3 linked regions of the Mus musculus genome follow. The protein of the gene in region 1 purifies or fractionates together with the protein of each later gene. This does not show direct contact. Links are inferred from orthologs where the notes say so. Each region holds a gene or a part of one and is shown in the gene's direction. Other genes may lie near its edges.

Region 1 (3,645 bases):
ATATCAGAGGTCCTGGCAGCTCATTTTCTTTCCTTCTCCATTGGAACATTGTACTGGGGGATTAAGAAGTTGGAGGTAGACAAGTCAGGAAAGGCAGACAGGAAGAAGAAATGCCCAGGCCCTGTGGATTCTCTCAGAGGTGTACAGCACTGGCCTCCTGGTGATCTGGCTCCCCCTTTCCAGATTTCTGTTCTTTCTACAACATCCTGAAAACCTGTCGGGGCCACACACTGGAGCGCTCTGTGTTCAGTGAGCGGACAGAGGAATCCTCAGCTGTGCAGTACTTCCAGGTGAGCTGGCACCTGCCCTGGGACAGACAAGCACCTGGTGTCTCCCTCCCCTCCCTTCCCACAGGAGGTCACGCAGCACAGGGTAGGCCCACACAGGTGCTCATCCTGGCTCTGTCCCTTACTAGCTGCGTAGCCTCAGTTTCCTCATCTGTGAAGCCCAGGGCCTCAGGTGTTTAGAGTAATGACTGAACTGTAGCCATGTCCTAAACCCTTAGTGAGTGTAAGGCTCTGTATAAGCAATCTTACATGCTCAGCAGCACTTGGACTTTCCCAACAACTGTTATTGTCCCCATTTTACAGATGAGAAATCTGAGGCTCAGAGAGGTTAAGTGACTTTGCTCCAAGTCACACAGCTCTTATGCAACAGAGCCACGATGGGAAAGCCAGGTCTGCCTGATGCCCAAGCCTGTGGCCCTGCCAGGTGCCACGCTGCCTCCTGATCGCCTGTTGTCTTACAGAGAGACACCGCACATCACCTGCCTGGCGCTCTGAGCTCTAGGGTTTTGTTCCATCCATTCCTCTTCTTCTTTGGGGCCCTAAGATGAGACATTTGGCCCCCAGATGTTAGAATCCCACCCATGACAACGTCTGTGATTTCTTGGGTGGCCTCCAAGTTCAGGTGACATCTAGCTTTGTCCTTCAGCCCTGCTCCCACTTCTGGAGCAGCTGGCTCTTGTCAGTTGGGTACAGGCTGGCAGAGGGTACATGACCTCCCAAGGGAGGTTTACGCTGTCAGGCCCTCCCTCCATCTTAGGGCAGCCAGGGCTGTGGCAGTCCGTCATGCCACGTGTCGCGTGCTATTGGTGTGTGTCTGTTCCAGTTCTATGGCTACCTATCCCAGCAGCAGAACATGATGCAGGACTATGTGCGGACAGGCACCTACCAGCGTGCGATCCTGCAGAACCACACGGACTTCAAGGACAAGGTGAGCCCTCAGAACAGGAAGCACACTGAGCAGAGTCTGCAGTGTGCTGAGGGGTGGGGGCAGGGCCTTCTCCCTCCCACTTCTGTTACCTCCTTTGTATTTGTTGTTCTGAGCCAGCCTCGGCTTTCTTTTTTGGGGGGCGTTGGGGGGGTGTCATGATGGGGTTTTTCTGTGTAGTTTTGGCTGTCCTGTAGATCAGGCTGGCCTCAAACTCACAGAGATCTGCCTGCCTCTGCCTCTGAATCCTGAGACCTGAGCACCTCCCCCATTCCATTTTCTTTTAGTTACCATTATGTTGTTTCTTCCCCTTCCTACAGAGAATACTTTTGCTCCTTCTAACATGACTTTGGTCATACTGTTTTCTGCCTCAGGTATACTGCAGCATACTAGACAAAGATAGGTTTTACATGGAACCTAACTCTAGTCTCAGCACTCAGGAGAAGTTGCCAAGAAGGTCACCGACTATAAATTGGGAGAGCTTACCTAGCATGATGAGGACTCTGGCGTCCATTGTAGCATTGTAGAAAAATAAGGCAGCTTTAGATAAAGAGGTTGATGCTCTAAAATTGGGTAGAGCAGCATGCAACTTTGATTCAGGAAGCAGCAGGCATATCTTTAAATTGGAAATCAGAGCTGCACAGTGAATCCCTTTCTCAGGAAAAAGGAGGGGGAAAGCTGGAAATAATGAAGCCACACCAATCTCATAGTCACATGGCAGCTTTGGGGAGCAGTGAGCTCTGTGGGAGGAGTGGACCCAGCCTGCTCTCAACTATCTCAGTTCTCCTTGCATCTACCTAGAGCAAGAGTGGAGAGCGCATGGGATGGGGTCTTCAACCCATAAAGCTCCACCCTCAACTTTTAAGTGTCATGGGCCAGCCAGCTGCAGCTGCCTTTCCCAAGTCTTCTGACAGATGGCTGAGTTGGGGTGCCCCCAACAGCTATTTGTCCAAGCAGCTCACATTGTTCAGGGAAGCATGCTTGCCAGCTGCTCACAGAAGATTTCAAAGATGGGTCAAAGACACTGGGAACAGTCTGAGAGGGGAGTGGCCTCACTGCTTCCTGGAGCTTATAACTCCTGCTCTGCCTCATCTGTCTGAACTCACACCCCAGGCCTTTCCTGCCATCATTGCTGATGGTGTGTTTAATTGGCTTGATGAGAAAAATCCAGCATGTTCTTGACCTTTTTAGTACCCTTTAGGTAGGGTAGGACTCTTCTGAGTGCCTTTTTTGTGTGTGAGGGGGAAAAGGGGAGGAGGGTGATGTATGTGTGGGTGTTGTAATACAGTGCCCTATTGTGTTGTCCAGTGCATTTATACTTAGTCTTCCTACCTTGGCCTCCTGTGGCCTGTTGCACCTTACTGCCCAATACTACCTACTCTCCATACTTAACTGCCATTCAGCCCAGGTTGGTGGTGCTTACCTGCAGTCCCAGCACTTGAGGGGCTGAAGTAGGAGGAAGTGAGGACAAGGCCATCCTGGACTATGTGAGACTCACATAGATAGGTGTGGGGAGCTGCTGCTATTCCCAGGGAATGTGTAGTCTTTTTGGTCTTTATAAATTGTGTGATGTACTCAGGCTTCCTGTTGAATGATTTGGCCCAGCTGTGGGTGTATAGCTGTTTTGAACTTGTGTCCCGCTGGCTGAGATGTTAGGTCAGGCAGATTGAATGCAGTTTTGCCTCATGAGGATCTGATCCCATTGTAAATTAAGGGACATCTTTAGGGCCCTTTTTTTTCTTCTCTCTTTTTTTATGGTGTAGAGGGTAAACTAAGACAGGGTTGTCTGAGTTAGCCCAGGCTTGCCTTGAACTCACTATTTCCACTTGCCAAGTGCTTGAATATATGCAGCACCATGTCCCATCTAGAGCCTCTGTGTTCCACATAGCAAATAGTTCCCTTCTCATCCTGTGGCTTTTTTACCCTTTTGGGTTTTTTTTATTTTTTGATTTTTTAAGATTTATTTCTTTATTTTATGTATATGAGTACAATGTAGCTATCTTTAGACACACCAGAAGAGGGCTTCGGACCACATTACAGATAGATAGCTGTGAGCCTCCATGTGGTTGCTGGGAATGGAACTCAGGACCTTTAGAATTTAGAAGAGCAGTCAGTGCTCTTAACTCCTCTCCAGCCCAGGAGCTTGTGTTTTTGTTCTGTTCCTTTTGAGACTATGTCCCTCTATAATCTCAGGCTATCCTTTAGCTTACAGTCCTCAGCAATGAGAGCATGGATGTACACCTCTATACCTAGCTCTAATCAGCATGCTTAGGGATAGTGGCAGCAGGATGGAGGGCTGGGGTGGGGGGCGGCTCATCCAGGCTTTAGTTAGGTTTTACCCCAGGGTCTCTAGACCCTAGAGGTTTTATCTCCATGGAGCATTCTCACAGGCCTCCTAGCCAAATTCACTCAGCTGCTACTGGTTTCTTGTTG
Region 2 (4,302 bases), about 89 Mb from region 1:
GTAGAAGTCAGAGGACAAGTTAGTTGGTTGGTTCTCTCCTTCCATTGTTCCAGTTCCAGAATTGAATTTAGGTCGTCACTATTGGCATTACCCGCTGAGCCATTTCACTGCCCTGCTCCATTTTGTTGTTGAGACAGGGTCTCTGTATGTAGTCTTGGAACTCACTATGGTAACAAGCTGGCCTAAAAGTCAGCGACCTCCTGAGTGCTAGGATTACTACCACCCAGAATTAGGTATGGGTGATGTATGTGTGCCACAGTACACAGTCAGGGTGTAACTTCGTGAAGAATTTCACCTTCTACTTTTATGAGAATTCTGGGGTTCCAACTCAGGTTGCCAAGCTTTTTAAGAACTGAGCCAAATACATAACCTGAGACAACTAGTCTCTTTTGTTTGTTCAGGCAGGGAGGGTTTCCTGTAGCCCTGGTTGTCCTGGCTTTCAAGCTCTATGTACATCAGGCAGGCCTGGAACTCAGAAAACCTCCTGCTTCTACCTTATGGGATTAAAGGCGTGCACACTACATCTTCTAGGCTATCTCCATTTTTTTTTAAGGTCTATAAACTCATCACACCTCCTCACTTGGAGCTTCGTGAACATATCATGTTCACGTTTCCAATACAGCCAATACATTGTTTACAATGTAAACTTTCAGCCTTCATATAGCCTTCAAATGTAGATAAAGCGTCCAGTTCCCAACGCGGATGATAAAAACACCAGGTTGAAGAGAGAGCTACAAAAAAAACCGTTGGGTAATTGTGATCACTTGTTCACTCAGGGACTGGTTTTCTGGAATACTTTTAAAGTGATGAATTTGAGAGAGTGCGAATCACAAAGGAAGATAATGTCCAGGTCGCAGAAGTAGCTGGAGCTAGGCCGACTAAGCAGAAACCATCTGATGTGGTTCGAGAAACATTAATGAAGCCCCAAGAAAGACTAGGTCTTTAATGCAGGTCCCCAAACCGACGCGGCCTCCGGGACTAGCAGGAATTGCTTACTAGCGCTCGGGGGCGGGTACGCGGGGGGGTGGGGTGGGGTGGGGCTCGGCTCGCACTGCACACCCTAGACCGCTTTTTCTAGTAGAGATACAGAACCTCCTTGAGATTGTTGACCGCCTAACGAATAGACAAACGGGGCCCGGAAGAGTCATTCGTAGTGTCTACCAACAGCAGAGGCTGAGGCTCAGTTCCGAGAGACCAGAGGAAAAGGCGGGCAGCCTCAGTCCGTAGGGGACTACCGGCGTGCTGCGCATGCGTACGCCCGCTCTCAGTGCCTGTTCGTTGCAGCTTTAGGGTCCAGAAGGGGCGTGGCCGCGCCTCGGCGCCGGAAGAGGGTTGGCTGGGCGGGGCTAGGAGGAGGAGGAGGAGGTGGCATCTGCGCGCGCGCGCGCGGGTGCGAACGGGAAACGCCGCGAGGGCCAGGCTAGGCCGGGCGGTAGACACGACGGACGGTGACTATGGCCGCGACAGCGGGTGGCGGTCCGGGAGCAGCAGCAGGCGCCGTGGGTGCAGGGGGTGCGGCGGCGGCCTCCGGGCTGGCCGTGTACCGGAGGAAGGACGGGGGCCCGGCCAGCAAGTTTTGGGAGAGCCCGGACACGGTGTCCCAGCTAGATTCGGTGCGAGTCTGGCTGGGCAAGCACTACAAGAAGGTGGGTTCGCGCGCGCCCGTGGGGACCGAGGAGCCACGCGACGGGGGCTGATGGTGGCTGCCCGCTTCGCATGTCTGGGGCCGCCCCTCCCCCCCCCCCTCCGCGCGCCACGAGGGACAACAAAGGCCGGCTCGGCGCTTGCCACGCCCCCGCGGGCGACTAGGCACGCGGCGACCTGGCCCCAGCTGCTGGCTCTCTGGGGCCCACGTACTCGCGTGGGAAGCCCCATCTCACTCTCTCTTATGTGCAGGAGAGGTGGAACTGGACAGAGTCGCAGAGCGTGTGTTTCTGTTCTTTTGTTAGCTGCCTTAGGTGTGTGAACAAAGAGCCCATCCTAATAAAAGTATCTTGAAGTTTTGTTTAGAGACCAGTTGTTGAGCGTCTAGGTAACTAAGGGCTTGCTACCCTATGTGGATTAGTAGGGGACCTTGGATGACTGGCCTTGTGGATTCATGTAGGTTTAAACCTTGTATTGTACAATTGATATAGAACTATTAAAAGTGTTGGTTTTCCACTTCATTGTACTTTAGGTGGTGTGTAAGGATGTGAGTACAAGCGAGAGTTAGGTTTTTTTGTTTGTTTGTTTTGTTTTTCGTAGCCCTGGCTGTCCTGGAACTCACTTTGTAGACCAGGCTGGCCTCGAACTCAGAAATCCTCCTGCCTCTGCCTCCCAAGTGCTGGGATTAAAGGCATGCGCCACCACACCTGGCGAGAGCTTAGTTTTTATCATATATATATTTTTTGCAATGTTAATTTTTTTGGGAAAAGTGTGTTTCCCGTACTTTAGAATGCAAATTCTGCTGAGTCAGTTGTTTTACAAAAGTCGTGAATTAACCCTTTGTTGACACTTTAAAAAGAATTACAACTATTTACTTTGGAGGGGTACACACAACTCCTGTTTTCATGTCCACTTAAGCAAATCAATTCTCCTCGAACACCATACTGGTCCAGGAATTGAACTTAGATACTTTTTTTTTTTTCAGAGACAGGGTTTCTCTGTATAGCCCTGGCTGTCCTGGAACTCACTTTGTAGACCAGGCTGGCCTCGAACTCAGAAATCAGCCTGCCTCTGCCTCCCAAGTGCTGGGATCAAAGGCATGGGCCACCCGGCTTGAATTTAGATCTTGATGCTTGTGACAAGTGCTTTTACCCATGTGTTTCCACCTCACTGGCCCCAATAATACCTCTAGTAAAATTTCACCTTTATATAAATGTTGAAAAATGAATCCCTTAGTTGATATGATGAAACATCCAAAACACTTCCTCTACTCTTAAATTAAGTAGTAGTGGTTACCCCATTGCGGACCCAGAGTGGGTGTTGAGATTTACAAGCCTGAAAATGCATCTCCATGTCCTGGCTCATAGTTGACATTTAACTGTCTCACCTTGCATAATAGTTGTTTAGTGTTTGTTGAATGAATGAAAAGTTAAACTAGGACCTGGGGATTTAAATCAGTTTGTAGAGTGTTTGTTTAGCATGGGTTAGGTCTAGAGTTTGAACCCCAGCACCCAGCAGAGAGCCACCAAAACCAGGCATTGGTGGCTCTCTGCTGCAGTCTTTTGAGAGGTGTGAAGTTCAAGGCCATCCTTTGTATGGATGGAAGGTTAAGACAAGCCTCAAGTACCAATATCAGACTCTGTCTTAAAAAACTAAAAAGGGACAGACTAGTCTGAACCATTTCATTCAGTGTCTGCAGCTTAGTGAAGCCTATTTGTGTTTGACAGGGAGCTTGGGTTGCTTTGGTAATACACTGGTGTTTTCAGAAGTGGTCATGTCTCTAAAGCTTTGAAGTCAGAAATACAGTTGACTTATTTCTGCTTGGTGTACCTTACACTTTGTCCTCTTCCTCCTCTCCCTGCTCTCCCGTTTCTGACACCATCTCACTATTTAGTCCAGACTAGCCTCAGACTTAGAAAGAGCTGCCTCCTGTCTTCGCCTAGGATTGTAGGCATGGGCCACACACTGGTTCATTAATTATTTCTATTGCATTTTACAGTGTATTTAGGACATACAAATGTAAAGGTTTCTTTGTGTGCGGAACATGCATGTCAGTGTCCACAGAGGCCAGCAGAGGGCGTCTCATTCCTTGGACCCGGATGTAAACTGTATTATCCGGGTGCTGGGACCTGAACTCTGGTCTTTGGGAAGAACAGTAAGCAGTCTTTTATCCTCTGAGCCATCTTCAGCACTAGAACAGAAATTTAAATATCAGCAATTAATATGAAACAAGTGAGACATGAAAGGTCTCTTTTCTTTCTGCCTGGGCTATAAGACTTCACTTCCAAAAACAAAACAAAAAACCAAAACTCACTGCTCCGAAGCCCCAGAGCTCCTTTTGTGGGCCGCAGATCCTGCTTTCAAGTCTAGAGTTCTGGGATTATGAGGATGAGCCACAGTGGTGGACTCAAAAAAAAAAAAAAGTTTTGGTTTTAGTTTCTCTGTGTGGTTGTTTTGCCTGCGTGCATGTCTCTGTACCAGAGTTTGTCTGGTGTATGTCTAATCTAGAAGAGAGCTTTGGATCATCTGGACCATGGTTTTGAGCTGCCATGGAGTGCTGGGAATCGAATGTAGGTGCTCTGGAAGAGCAGCCATGGACTCAAGTGCTGAGCCTTCCCTCCAGCTCTATCAAAGGTTTTGCAGTTAATTCATTAGTTA
Region 3 (3,645 bases), on another chromosome or scaffold:
AGTCCCTAGTAACCCTCAAACCAGGTGTGGTGCTGACACTTGTAACCCAGCACTGGGGAGGTGAAGACAGGAGGATCGGAAGTTGAGGGCTAGTCTCAGCTACATAGGAAGTTTGATGCTCTCCAAGGCTACATGAGATCTTGTCTCAAAAAAGACAGAGTTGTCAAGCTGAGGACCTCTGTTTAACCCACGTGATCAAAGGAGACAGTTCAGAGTGTGACAGTTCAATGTGTGACTCTCACACATTGTCTCTGACCTCTTGTTGCAACACACATGCACACATGAATGTTTTGGGGGCTTTGGGGTTTTTTGTTGTTTGTTTGTTTTGTTTTTCGAGACAGGATTTGTCTGTGCAGCCCTGGCTGTCGTAGACCTCACTTTGTATGCCAGGCTGGTCTTGAACTCAGAGATGCACCTGCCTCTGCCTCCTAAAAGGCATATACCACCACTGTTTGGCCACACACGCACATAAATGTAATAAATTAGGGTGTTTTTTTTTTCCTGTGGGGGTGGGGTGGGGGAATTGAGACTTCAACAGCCAAAAGGAATCCTGGCACTTTTGTTGTTTTTTGTTTTGTTTTTGAGACAAGGTTTCTCTGGATCCTGGTACTTTTTAAGGTCCCCTTTTGATGACTAAATCTCTGTGTGCTTACTCATCTCCAGTTGCTAGTAGGTGCTTGGCAAGTGGTGTTGAGTTAGTATTGGAGGATTGAAAGAAAAAATGATGTTCAGAATTGTTCCAGGTTGCAGTTTGGGTGCCAGGACAGACAGGGAGACACAGGGGAAAGAAGCAGTGCCCTGGTGTGAAATACTGCTTCACCTAGACGGTGTGCAGCTGAGGTGGTCAAATAATTCTGAAGCTTCAAACTAAAGGAAGAAGCCATACACTGAGCTGAGTCTGGAGCCTTCGGCCTGTGATGCTCTGCCCACAGCACTTCCCTCTCCACCTACGTGGATGCTTCTGTGAGCAGCTCAGATGGCGTGCTAGGCTCTTGTCCCCCAGAGCAGGGGTCAAGACAACCAACAAGGCTGGCTGTGTGGCCCACACCTTTAGTTACAGCACTTTGGAGGAAGGGCAGTGAATTTCAGTGAGTTTGAAGTCAGCCTGGTCTGGTGTGTGTAGTTCCAGGACAGCCAGGACTGTATATAGTGAGACAGTCTCAAAAAACCAGGGGGGAAGAGGATTCAACCAACAGACCCTTCTCTGAAGGTCACACATCCCTTCTTAACTGGTTGGGAGACTAGGTCTTAGGAAACTATGACTCCACTACCCTCCTGGAGAGCCCATAGAAGGGAGAAGTGCAGCCCGGCTAAGGAGAGTAAACCCACCATCCATATTGCTTTCCCAGATGATCGCCACCGGATTGAAGAGAAGCGCAAAAGGACCTATGAGACCTTCAAGAGTATCATGAAGAAGAGTCCTTTCAATGGTGAGATGAGGAAAGCCTGAGGGAGAGGAGTGGGCAGGCCAGCCAAGTCCTAGAGTCAGTGAGAGGACACCCGGGGTCTGAAAGCTGACTTAGCTTTTGCCCTGTAGGACCAACTGAACCCCGGCCTCCAACCCGGCGTATTGCTGTGCCTACCCGAAACTCAACTTCTGTCCCCAAGCCAGGTAAGGAAGTCCTTTTCTTTTTCTAGAATGAGGGTCTCATTTGTTCAGACTGAAGTAGTATCTTCTAGAAGGGGACCAAATTGGTCTCACCTGCAGAGTTCTGAAATCTGCTCTCCATGGGGCCTGGACTTCTCAGGGGGAGGCCGGGGTCTCTGCCAGGACCATCCAGGGCTCTTGTCACAGACTGATAAACTCAAGGCTTTGAAAGTGTGGCACAGGAACTGGCCATTTCCTAAAGTCAGTAGAAGTCAGAAGCCATGCTCCTGTCAAACCCTGAGCCCTTTATTCCCTGCTGCTCAAGAGAGTGTGGCAGGAGGGTCACAAGTTCAAGGCCATCTTGGACTACAAGGTTATTAAGTTTAAGGTCAGTTTGAAGAACCCTGTCTCAGCTTTAAAAGTAAAAGCAGGGATACGGTACAGCTCATGTAGAGCGCATGCCTAGCACCAGAGACCCTAGATTCAATATTTGGTACCAAGGGACTAAATAATCCCTGAGTTGGATACCTTGAGATACAGACATTGGAAATGTCTCTGCCCTCAGCTCTCCATTGAATTGAGAAAGAAGAAATCACCTCTAAAGTAATCAGTTGTGGGGCTAGAGAGATGGCTCGGTTAAAGGCACTGGGTTCTCTTCTCAGCAGCTGTCTCTAGCTATAGCTGCTCGCCAAGGGCGCTGCACGCATGCAGTGCACATACATAGAAGCAGGCAAAATGCTCACAAATAAAAACATTTATTTAAAAAATTAAGCTGGGCTGGGTGGTAGTGGCGCATGCCTTTAATCCTAGCACTTGGGAGGCAGAGGCAGGCGGATTTCTGAGTTCGAGGCCAGCCTGGTCTACAGAGTGAGTTCCAGGACAGCCAGGGCTACACAGAGAAACCGTGTCTTGAAAAACTGAAAAAAAAAAAATTAATAGGTTGTGGGTTCTGGTGCGTGGCTCACAAGAGTGACAGACTCCCACCACTGAGCCCGTGCTCCATGGTTCATCCTCTTCGCTGGCTTTGCAGCTGTAACATGGTGAGAGCTTTATGACCGCAGTAGCTAGGGAACACCTCACTGTGGCCCTTGGAAGTGGACCCTACAGGCCTGGTCAGATTTTGGTTCCCAGAAAGGTACTGATTCTAAGCATGGTAGAGCTGGGTCAGGTGGTGGCAGAGGGGCCGTGTATGTCTCTCACTGCCTCTGAGCCTTTGTTCTTTGTCTCTCTCTCCAGCCCCGCAGCCCTACACCTTCCCAGCATCCCTCAGCACCATCAACTTTGATGAGTTTTCCCCCATGCTGTTACCATCAGGGCAGATCTCAAACCAGGCCCTGGCCTTGGCACCGTCCTCTGCCCCAGTCCTTGCCCAGACCATGGTCCCTTCCTCAGCCATGGTACCTCTGGCTCAGCCCCCAGCTCCTGCCCCAGTTCTAACCCCGGGTCCTCCCCAGTCCCTGTCTGCACCTGTTCCAAAGAGCACCCAGGCTGGGGAAGGCACGCTGTCGGAAGCCCTGCTGCACCTGCAGTTTGATGCTGATGAAGACTTGGGGGCCTTGCTTGGCAACAGCACAGACCCAGGAGTGTTCACAGACCTGGCATCTGTGGACAACTCAGAGTTTCAGCAGCTCCTGAACCAGGGTGTGTCCATGTCTCACTCCACAGCTGAGCCCATGCTGATGGAGTACCCTGAAGCTATAACTCGCCTGGTGACAGGGTCCCAGAGGCCCCCTGACCCAGCTCCCACACCCCTGGGGACCTCGGGGCTTCCCAATGGTCTCTCAGGAGATGAAGACTTCTCCTCCATTGCGGACATGGACTTCTCTGCTCTTTTGAGTCAGATCAGCTCCTAAGGTGCTGACAGCGACCCTGCTCAGAGCACCAGGTTTCAGGGCACTGAAGCCTTCCCGAAGTGCGTACACATTCTGGGGAGTGTGCTCCAGCTGCCCCCGACTTGTTTGGGTGATCTCTCTGGGGCGGCACGTTTTACTCTTTATCTCGCTTTCGGAGGTGCTTTCGCAGGAGCATTAACCTCCTGGAGACGGAGCTGGGAGGAC

The links.
Region 2: the proteins of Carm1 (region 1) and Smarcc1 purify together in Homo sapiens (affinity purification with western blotting; 3 studies listed by BioGRID and IntAct, with this or other methods). This does not show direct contact. The link is inferred for Mus musculus from reciprocal best matches to the Homo sapiens genes CARM1 and SMARCC1.
Region 3: the proteins of Carm1 (region 1) and Rela purify together in Homo sapiens (affinity purification with western blotting; 4 studies listed by BioGRID and IntAct, with this or other methods). This does not show direct contact. The link is inferred for Mus musculus from reciprocal best matches to the Homo sapiens genes CARM1 and RELA.

The regions. Positions count from the first base shown.
Region 1 is NC_000075.6:21,574,304-21,577,948, forward strand, and holds part of Carm1 (histone-arginine methyltransferase CARM1), read left to right. Parts: intron 1-183; coding exon 184-290; intron 291-590; exon of another isoform or gene 591-1,110; coding exon 1,111-1,215; intron 1,216-3,645. UniProt on the Homo sapiens protein: Methylates (mono- and asymmetric dimethylation) the guanidino nitrogens of arginyl residues in several proteins involved in DNA packaging, transcription regulation, pre-mRNA splicing, and mRNA stability.
Region 2 is NC_000075.6:110,130,663-110,134,964, forward strand, and holds the start of Smarcc1 (SWI/SNF complex subunit SMARCC1), read left to right. Parts: upstream 1-1,361; 5' UTR 1,362-1,454; coding exon 1,455-1,646; intron 1,647-4,302. UniProt on the Homo sapiens protein: Involved in transcriptional activation and repression of select genes by chromatin remodeling (alteration of DNA-nucleosome topology).
Region 3 is NC_000085.6:5,643,976-5,647,620, forward strand, and holds part of Rela (transcription factor p65), read left to right. Parts: intron 1-1,349; coding exon 1,350-1,430; intron 1,431-1,537; coding exon 1,538-1,612; intron 1,613-2,824; coding exon 2,825-3,441; 3' UTR 3,442-3,645. UniProt on the Homo sapiens protein: NF-kappa-B is a pleiotropic transcription factor present in almost all cell types and is the endpoint of a series of signal transduction events that are initiated by a vast array of stimuli related to many biological processes such as inflammation, immunity, differentiation, cell growth, tumorigenesis and apoptosis.